Zea mays: one gene and its partner. The protein of the gene in region 1 binds, or shares a complex with, the protein of each later gene. Links are inferred from orthologs where the notes say so. Each region holds a gene or a part of one and is shown on either strand. Other genes may lie near its edges.

Region 1 (4,516 bases):
GTGGACACATTCTCGAAATTAGGGGTTCCTGTGGTTCCAGGTGATGGCGCAGGCCTTCCAAGTAACTGTCCTCCGGATGCCTGCAAGTAGTAAGAAGGCAACAAATTTGAAACTGAAACAGAAATATCAAACATTTATCTGAGTTTTGTTATTGCCATTCCCTATGATATATAATAGCTATCCTATCAACACCATGGGAAGATGACTGATGTCATAAAAACAGAATGAACCAAAGAGGTTTTCAATTCAAAAGAGTGATAACAATAGAAGATAGACCCTTTCTAATATCATAATAATAACTCAGTTATAACAGAAACCTGAATCTGATTTCCCTGGCTGTTGACACTATTAGGTGCAAATGTTGACATATTTTTGGGATAACTACCTGCAAATACAAATAGAAATTAGATGTGCATTTGTCAAATACATCTCCAATGCAAATGCCAAAGAGTTAAGCATACAAGGAACTTCTACGGCACAAATCTCCCATTAATATGGCAAATGTTAAACATATAAGGAACTTTTACAGCACATATCTCAATGCAAATGGTCGTGATTTTAGCAATTGAGGATAAACACTAATCCTAGCACAATAGGAGTTCGGTCTATAGCGCATGAAAATGAGACAATCGACAGATGTTAAAACTCAAAACGAGGAGAGGTTCATTAAGAGAGTTTAGATACACAAGAAAATCTACATACCAGAACTATCACCAAAATTTTGTGCACCGTCTCCTAAAGGAAGCACTTCTATCAGATGGATAGGAAGAGATTGTGGATGCCTCTGATCTCCAGGTACCCGTAATCCTGGCATTCAGATAATTTTAGTAAGGCTATAAGTATTGAAATTGTAACACAAAATAGAAGTAAAAAGGACTCTTTATTTTGGAAATCTAATTGCATTTTTTATTAATATTGACCAAGCACTATGCCTTTCACCTTCACCATAATTTACTGCTGCTCTAAGTAGGCCTTCCTGCTCCTGTATCTTTGCAGCTTGTGCTTTGTCCAATGTAGGACCAAGATTTGTCCCCTGACGGCTTCCCAGCCCATAGCTCTTACGGCATTCTGCAATTACTTTCTCAGCAGTTTCGCATGCACTCCCAATCATGTCTATTCTAACCTGAAAGGGATGGTACCAGGTTCATTCTAATTAATAGATAGCCGATAAATCAAGCTAGCAACACATGCTATAGGTTTTCATTTTTCATACTAAATTGGTCACCTTTAATTTTTCAATCTGTGTAGGCACAGGTAGATTAGTTATTCCAGACAATAGTTGCTCTCTCTTAGTAGTTTCCTCAACTTCCATCTCAGGCAGCAGTTTTGACGACAGCATTACAGGTAGTACTGCAATATTCATAAGGATTATACTGCAACTCTAATAATAAATAACTGTACAAACCATTGATAGTATGCAAAATGGGAACACTAGATGACAATGCATCAGAACAATTAGAATGACCATTTCCAATACATTTTTGTTGGGTCATTTGCACTGTGTTTATTTATCTCAGAATAGCTTGCCATGAAATTAAGGCCATGGCTAGTAGAAAACTTCAAAAGTCTGAAACCTAATTCAGAATTTTGATTAGTGGACAACTGGAAATAAACATCAGTTGACAGTAAGAAAAATCTTAGATTGAATCTTCATGTGTAATAAAACTTGTGAGAAGACCCCAAAGAAACGGCACAGCAAAGTATTAGCCCAACTGGTCATACTTGTAGTCATCATTCATCCTTACTTTAGAAACAAAATCATAGGGTTTTTTTCTAAAAATATATGGAAGCATAAATGAATCGTATAATCTCATCATGTGTTGAAAATCATAATCTCATTAGGTGTTCACCAATACTGGACCATGAACAACGAAAGACTATTTAGTGTTGGGTCAAATAAGGGAAAATGTTTGATGGATTCCTTTGGACTCAATACAGTTGGTTACATAGCAAAACTTCAACACATAAACTGAGCAAATTTTCATATCAGATAATTTCTTCCCAAATTACATGCTTCCATTGATAATCTTTCAGAGAGGTTGTTGTTCATGTCTTGATTGAACCAACCAAACTTTTACAAACAAGGGCAAAGAACTCTTAATGTCTTTGGAAATTGTTGTCCCTGAACTGGAGATGATTTATTTCATGACTGAATCAGTAAACCATGCAACTAGAACATAACCAACAGATGTTAAACTCCCCTATGTTAGATCAACTAAATATTAATTATGATTTCTAAGAAAACAAATACCATTACGTGATAACCAAATTGACACAGATAACAAAAGATATATGCATATCCATAAAGGGGAAAAAACTCAGAACGGCATACTTGTTGCATTCTCGGCATTGACATTCCGGGGGTACACGACAAACACCTTGGACACATTCTTAATGTCCTCCACAATGTTGAAGAGCTCCATGCTCACCATCGAGAACTGCCCGAGCACGTCCTGCCTGCAATTCACCCAGAGGCAGCCATACCATACCAGTAAGCAATCGCGCAGCGACGCCACACGAGCAGAGGCATCCTAATTAAACCCTAGAATCCACTGCTGCCAGCCATCAGCCGATAGCCAATAAGAGGGGCGGGGCTGGGGATGAAGTTACCACTTGGGGGAGGCGCTGGGATTGGTGCGTATGATGACGTCAAAGTCCTCGAGGATGCGGGAGATGGCCTTGTACAGCCCCACCGCGCGCGCGCGCATCCCCTCCAGGTTCAACTGCTGCTGCACCCCCGCGCTGAGCCGCTCAACCCGGGGAGCTGCCTGCTGGTCCCCTGCGGCTGCGCCCGGAGGTGGCGCGCCAGCGGCGGGTACTGCACCTAGCGCGGCCGCCGCGGGGTCCATCGCCGGAAACTTGCGTTGGGGGCGGTGGCGTTGCGGCGGAATGAAAGGGGGTGGCCGGAGGCGGACTAATGGAGGATGTTTTCAGATCGTTATGGCGGTACCACCAGTTTGCGTGTCTGGCTCAGACTGACATGTGAGGGCCGGGGGACAGTCAAGTCAATTCTCTGCACTCGACAAAACATGTGTCCAGAATCCAAAAGTTCATAATGCAGAGTTCAAAATTTGGAGAAGTCCTAACAAAATGTATACCTAGATGAGATGAGCATACAGAGTCGTCATATATTAAACTATTTTTTATTTAACTAAACTTAGAGTTAATATACTTATACAAAAAGAGACGGTGGTATTTACACCATTAAATTGGTATCACTAAATATGTGTTTTTTGTGTCATCCTCACGAGTATACTGCCTGCAGCATGCTTCAAACTTTACAGAATTTGATGGCACGTACGCCTCCTAGTTCACACAGAGGAGCTGGGGCTAATTAAAGCCAACCTACAAGCAAACGGACTTTACAATGATAGTGTAGCCGATGCCTGATGATGCTAAGTTTGTTTAGCAGTTTAACAGGTATAGATGTCTATATTGGCCGGACAGCCAAATTTATCCGAAGCCTGGTACCAACCCGGCACGGCTCGCTGCGCATCGAGCTCGGGACAGCCCGGCACGGTGGACGTGTCGTGCTTGGGCTTTGAGGCCGGCACGTCGTGCTCGGCCCGACCCAGCACGAAAATGAGCCAGACACGGCGTCTGTCCGTTCCACGCCGCATAACACACATCGGCCCTGCCCCATGACGCACCCCCCCGGCATTCGCTCGCTCGAAACCCTAAACCTAATCCCCTCCCCTTCTCCCGTGGCTCCTACCTCTTGCTCCTTGGTGACCGACGAAATCTCGCCTCTCCCGCCGACGGCTACTGGTGACGGCTACCAGCGACGGCTTGTTTGGACATCTATACTCTCCTCATCTCTTCGCTCATCATCTTCCCTTCCTCACACCCGAATCCCAATAGAGTAATCCCCATCCTCGGCTCCTGACATCCTCTTAGCAGAGGTGTTCCTCCTCGCGGTGGTGCTCTCAAGGCGACTAAGGTGCTCCGGCTGCGCAGGTTATGTCCTGAACCCTAATCTCCATCCCCTTCTCTTGTGTATTAGATCTTGATTGGAATCCCATGGATGTGATGAATCTCCTAGGTATCGCTTGTGTCGGTGCCACGTAGCTGTCCAGGGACCCCAGTCGTCGGCGAGGAGCCATCTGTCTACGGCATGGACGATGACCTTCATCCGACCGTTGTGGACGAGGAGCACCGGCTAGAATATCATAACAAAGCAGAGGATGCCCGGATCCTATTTGGCAGTAGTGTTGCCATCAACATCGATAATGATGATGATGTCCCTGGTGCCGCCACCGGTGGTCAAGCGGGCACAGGATCCACGAGCCCGACACCGACCGGCACAAGCACCGCCGCCACCAGTTCCAGTAAGTGTCCTCTCAGATCTAAAGTGTGGCATGACTTTGATGAACCGACTCACCTTGTCAATGGTAAGATGGTATGGTATGGAGCCATTTGTAAGTACTGCAAGGTGACTTTAAGTGGTAAATCTAGTTCTGGAACTGGTCACTTGCTTCGTCATAATTGCTTAGCTAAGAAAGAACAACAGTGCGCT
Region 2 (4,179 bases), on another chromosome or scaffold:
CCTGCAGCTTGGTTGGTTTGGCCTGGCCGCCAGGACACTAACGCAGCTGGGCACAAGGTTCCGGACCAGGTAACTAGCCGGTGCAAATAATGCAAGTGGCCAAGTGGCGGCTCCCTCAGCCTACTTGCAGTTGCAAACAAGAGTGGGCTGAGGGCTACTGCTGGGCACCATAGCCAGATCCAACTAATGGCTGTTGCTCCCTGTATGTGCATGCATGCATGGTTGAAACATTGGTCATAGTCCAAAATGATATTTTAGTCATAGTTCAAAACTCTAAAATTCTGCTGGGAGTCATGCATGGTTCAAACCTAGTTATCATGAATGGCTTAACACTTTTTAGAATTTTGGTTATGATCTGCGATGCACAAAGTATTAATAATGCAATTTTGTATTTTAACTATTTATACTTCCAGATATTCCTCGACATACTTCCAAGCATAGACGTGTCTATAAGTTATGACTAATCGTGTTTATTTGAAACAAAAAATAACGAAGACCAACAAATTCAAGAAAAATATTGTTATGCAACTAGTGGGTAGACCTACATTACCCATTGGGTCAACAGGTTCTGGCCCTATCAGCCAATTTAAACTTTGAAGCGGCCCTTTGACGTTTGACCTATTGGCCTTACTTTTGTGGGTCAGGTCGACTACCCAATGGGTCGACCCGACCCATTCCCGTTCCTAGCCATGAACCACCCCACAAGAATAAAGAGATATAAAAAGATGAGGATGAATTGCTTCAAGTTCTTTCGCGTGCTGGAAAAATTGAATAAAGTAAAAGAAGAGTACTCAAGGTTCTCTAGTTGTTCAAAAGAATCTAATGATCCTGACTCAATCTATGATAGATTGGCTGTTTCCCCTATGACTTTGTGGACAACTCATGGACAGCCTATTCCCTTATTGATGAATTTGGCCACCAAATTGCTTAGCCAACCAGCCTCATCTATAGCTTTATCCATAGTGTCAAGAGAAATGCCATAACTCAGAGCATGTTGAAGATTTGGTCTTTGTCTGCCAAAAAGAACTGATGCATATAAGACAGGAGAGACAATGATGTGGGATGTGGGAGGAGATTTTTTTATTCACTTGGTGGTATTGGCATCCTTGAAGTGCCTGACCTCTCCCTTGATGGGCCTGAATTGCAAGCTGTGTCTTTTGGTTTGGGTGATCTCCAGCTTAATGTTGTGGATGAGAATGAAACAAGCAAGACAAATGCGGAATAGGAACTTGGTGCGAGCCTGAATTGCAAACCTGAATGCCTTTTATTAATTTCTTAAATTTGAGACTACTGTATTTGAGAATTGAGACCTGCTGTGCTTTAATTAGAACTTAAATAGTTAAGTAGATTGTGGTGTTTCATTGTTAGATTGCTATCCATTTTAATATGCATTATTATCCTTTTATTTAAAAAATAGTAAAATGTATTCATGAATGGGAATTTTTAGGAAATTGCTGTATCTGTGTATCAGTATCCTTGTGATACCGATACATGTATCAGTATACGTGCTGCATAGTTCTACAAAAGTACTCATATCAAGTTTGTGTGACTTTCTGTTTTTTATAGGTTCTAGAAAGCAAGTCAAAATAATATGGCCCAACAGAGCAACTTCAGCTAGGTTTTGAAAGAAGGGATGACACTGCAAGACGGTAAACAAAAGCTAAAAACGGTGCTCAAGTGTGAACGTGTGATTCTAGGCCAAAAGATCACCTTGTTTGTTGGATGTGCCATTGCATTTCGGAAATTGGCATTTTGGAGAAGCTCAAGAAAGAAAAGGCAGTGTGGATACCTGCATCATCAGCAAAAACAATGAGCAAGCCATTTCCTCTGTTGCAGAAAAAACCACTGAATATGGTATCACTCACATTATGTATTTGATATACTCTGGTCGCTGCCAGTATTTTAGATACTTGAGGTACCCGATAAATGCCTCATCCTCGAAATATCTATTCTGCGCTAGATCTATTTGGGAAAAGAAAGAGCATTCAAATCATCCATGCAGTACCAAACATGATGTGCATTGAACAAGAAAGTTCAAGTAAAAAACAAGGAGCCATGAGGCACACAAAATGATGATATCAAGCAACACTACTAACAATATCACAGCCTTAGCTTAGCAATCATATCCTATTGATAAGAAACCGCTCATGAGGCCCATGCAGACGAGACCAGTTTGAATAGGGGAGAATGGGATTTAGGCTAGTACTAAAAATTCCTAAGCACTCCTAGCTCCCTTCTCAAGCAGGGACTTACTGACAAACACACACTTCTACAAAAATTTTCAGTCCGTTGCAATGGATTGCTAGTTACTAGCAGCACAGCCCCTATCAAAATTGGTAACAAACCGGTACAGGAAAACGTTCTATAGATGCGTGCAACATCAGATTAGCTAATCCCAACAAGGTGAGATGAAACAAGAGAATGGAGGACAGTACAGTACAGTGGATGTAGGTAGGGTTGGCGAGGCACTGCACGAACTCCAACTCGAGTAGGAATCGCTGACTCCCATTGTCAGGGTCCTTGTACGGCGGCGGCTTCCCACCCACGCCAGGGTTCTCGACGTCGGACATCGGGGTTCAATCGGTTGAAACCAGGGGCAGATCTATTAAAGGAACAAGGGTGTACATGTGTACACACATTAATCAAATAGTCTGAGGTTAGAGTTTTGAGAACTCGATTTCGCACAGCAGACAGGGAACTAGGGAAGAGAAGAGGGTGGGAATACTTGGCGGGCGCTCTTCGCCGGCAAACAGATCGGAGAAGGTCTCGGCAGTCGGCACCTGGCGTACGGCGGCGGCGGTAGCCGACCCCGAGAGAGAATGACCGGATCTTGGAAAGAGGGAGTATCGACCTGGACTGACGCACTGTCAGCGGTGCGAGCCAGGCGGCGAACGGACGAGAGGAGGTGCCGTGTGCGGTTGGAATTTTTTTACTTTTATTAATCCTTTTTAAAATTATACTACCTCTAGTTTTTTATATATGACGCTCACCAATTCATTTTTGACTTGTTCGACGACAAATAAAAAAATCAAGGGAGTATTATTTCCTAAAAATAATATAGTCACTCTCTCTTCTCTTCTCTGAAGCACTCTCTGCTACGTAAAGCACTGGTTTTTAAGTTTTCACATCGTCTCTGATAAAAAAGAAGTATTTTTTTTTTAATCTAACTCAATCCAAATATCTTCGCGTGTCGTGGATCACGTACGTAGATTTATTTCTCCCCCGTTTCTCGTCTAATAAAATAGAGAGGGGATAAGACTTATTTTGCTATAGTCAAACTAACCCAACTATAAATCCCTCTTGTAGATCTATCTATTATCGATCATCACAAAGCGCCCTACTCGGTAGATATGCTCGCGCTCCATTGTCAACCTCTAGGACATCTGTCGGCGTCTCGAGACCGGGGGGTCCCTAAGCCGACGAGTGAGTGTGCCGCGTGCCCCAGCCCAGATGGGTCGAGCGCGTGGGCGAGCGCGAAGAGGGGAAGCGAGGTGGCCGGAGACGGGCGTGAGAAAGGTGGAAATCCCGCGGCCTTCGTGTTCGTCCCGCGCCCAGGTCGGGTGCGCTTGCAGTAGGGGGTTACAAGCGTCCACGCGGGTGAGGGAAGCGAGCGGCCCCAAGAGAGCGCCTGTCCCGTCCTCGTCCCCGCGCGGCCAACCTTTTCTAAGAAGGCTCTGGTCCTTCCTTTTATAGGCGTAAGGAGAGGATCTATGTGTACAATGGGGGTGTAGCAGAGTGCTACGTGTCTAGCGGGGGAGAGCTAGCGCCCTAAGTACATGCCGATGTGGCAGCCGGAGAGATCTTGGCACCCAGCTGGTGTGGTGTCGTGGCTGTCGGAGGAGCGACGGAGCCTGGCGGAGGGACAGCTGTCGGAGCGGTTGGGTCCTTGCTGACGTTCCCCTGCTTCCGTAAGGGAGCTGAGAGCCGCCGTCGTCACAGGGCTAGCGGGGCGCCATCATTGCCTATCTGGCAGAGCTAGCCAGATGGGACACCGGTCTTGTTCTCTGCGGCCCGAGTCGGCTCAGGGTAGGGTGATGATGGCGCTTCCTGTTGACGTGGCGGGCATGTGCCCTAGGTCGGGCGACGTGGAGGCTCCTCCGAAGCCGGGGTCGAGTCTGTCTTCCATGGCCGAGGCCGAGTCCGAGCCCCGGGGTCGGGCGAGGCGGAGGTCGTCGGCAG

The links.
Region 2: mediator of RNA polymerase II transcription subunit 8 (region 1) and Mediator of RNA polymerase II transcription subunit 31 share a complex: the UniProt entries of both Arabidopsis thaliana proteins name them as parts of the mediator complex. The link is inferred for Zea mays from reciprocal best matches to the Arabidopsis thaliana genes MED8 and MED31.

Annotation. Positions count from the first base shown.
Region 1 is NC_050102.1:151,800,865-151,805,380, forward strand, and holds the start of mediator of RNA polymerase II transcription subunit 8, read right to left. Parts: upstream 2,984-4,516; 5' UTR 2,850-2,983; coding exon 2,611-2,849; intron 2,458-2,610; coding exon 2,333-2,457; intron 1,351-2,332; coding exon 1,226-1,350; intron 1,124-1,225; coding exon 940-1,123; intron 808-939; coding exon 703-807; intron 386-702; coding exon 318-385; intron 81-317; coding exon 1-80. UniProt on the Arabidopsis thaliana protein: Component of the Mediator complex, a coactivator involved in the regulated transcription of nearly all RNA polymerase II-dependent genes.
Region 2 is NC_050096.1:207,962,116-207,966,294, reverse strand, and holds the start of Mediator of RNA polymerase II transcription subunit 31, read right to left. Parts: upstream 2,801-4,179; 5' UTR 2,726-2,800; intron 2,603-2,725; 5' UTR 2,571-2,602; coding exon 2,441-2,570; intron 1,963-2,440; coding exon 1,866-1,962; intron 1,790-1,865; coding exon 1,711-1,789; intron 1-1,710. UniProt on the Arabidopsis thaliana protein: Component of the Mediator complex, a coactivator involved in the regulated transcription of nearly all RNA polymerase II-dependent genes.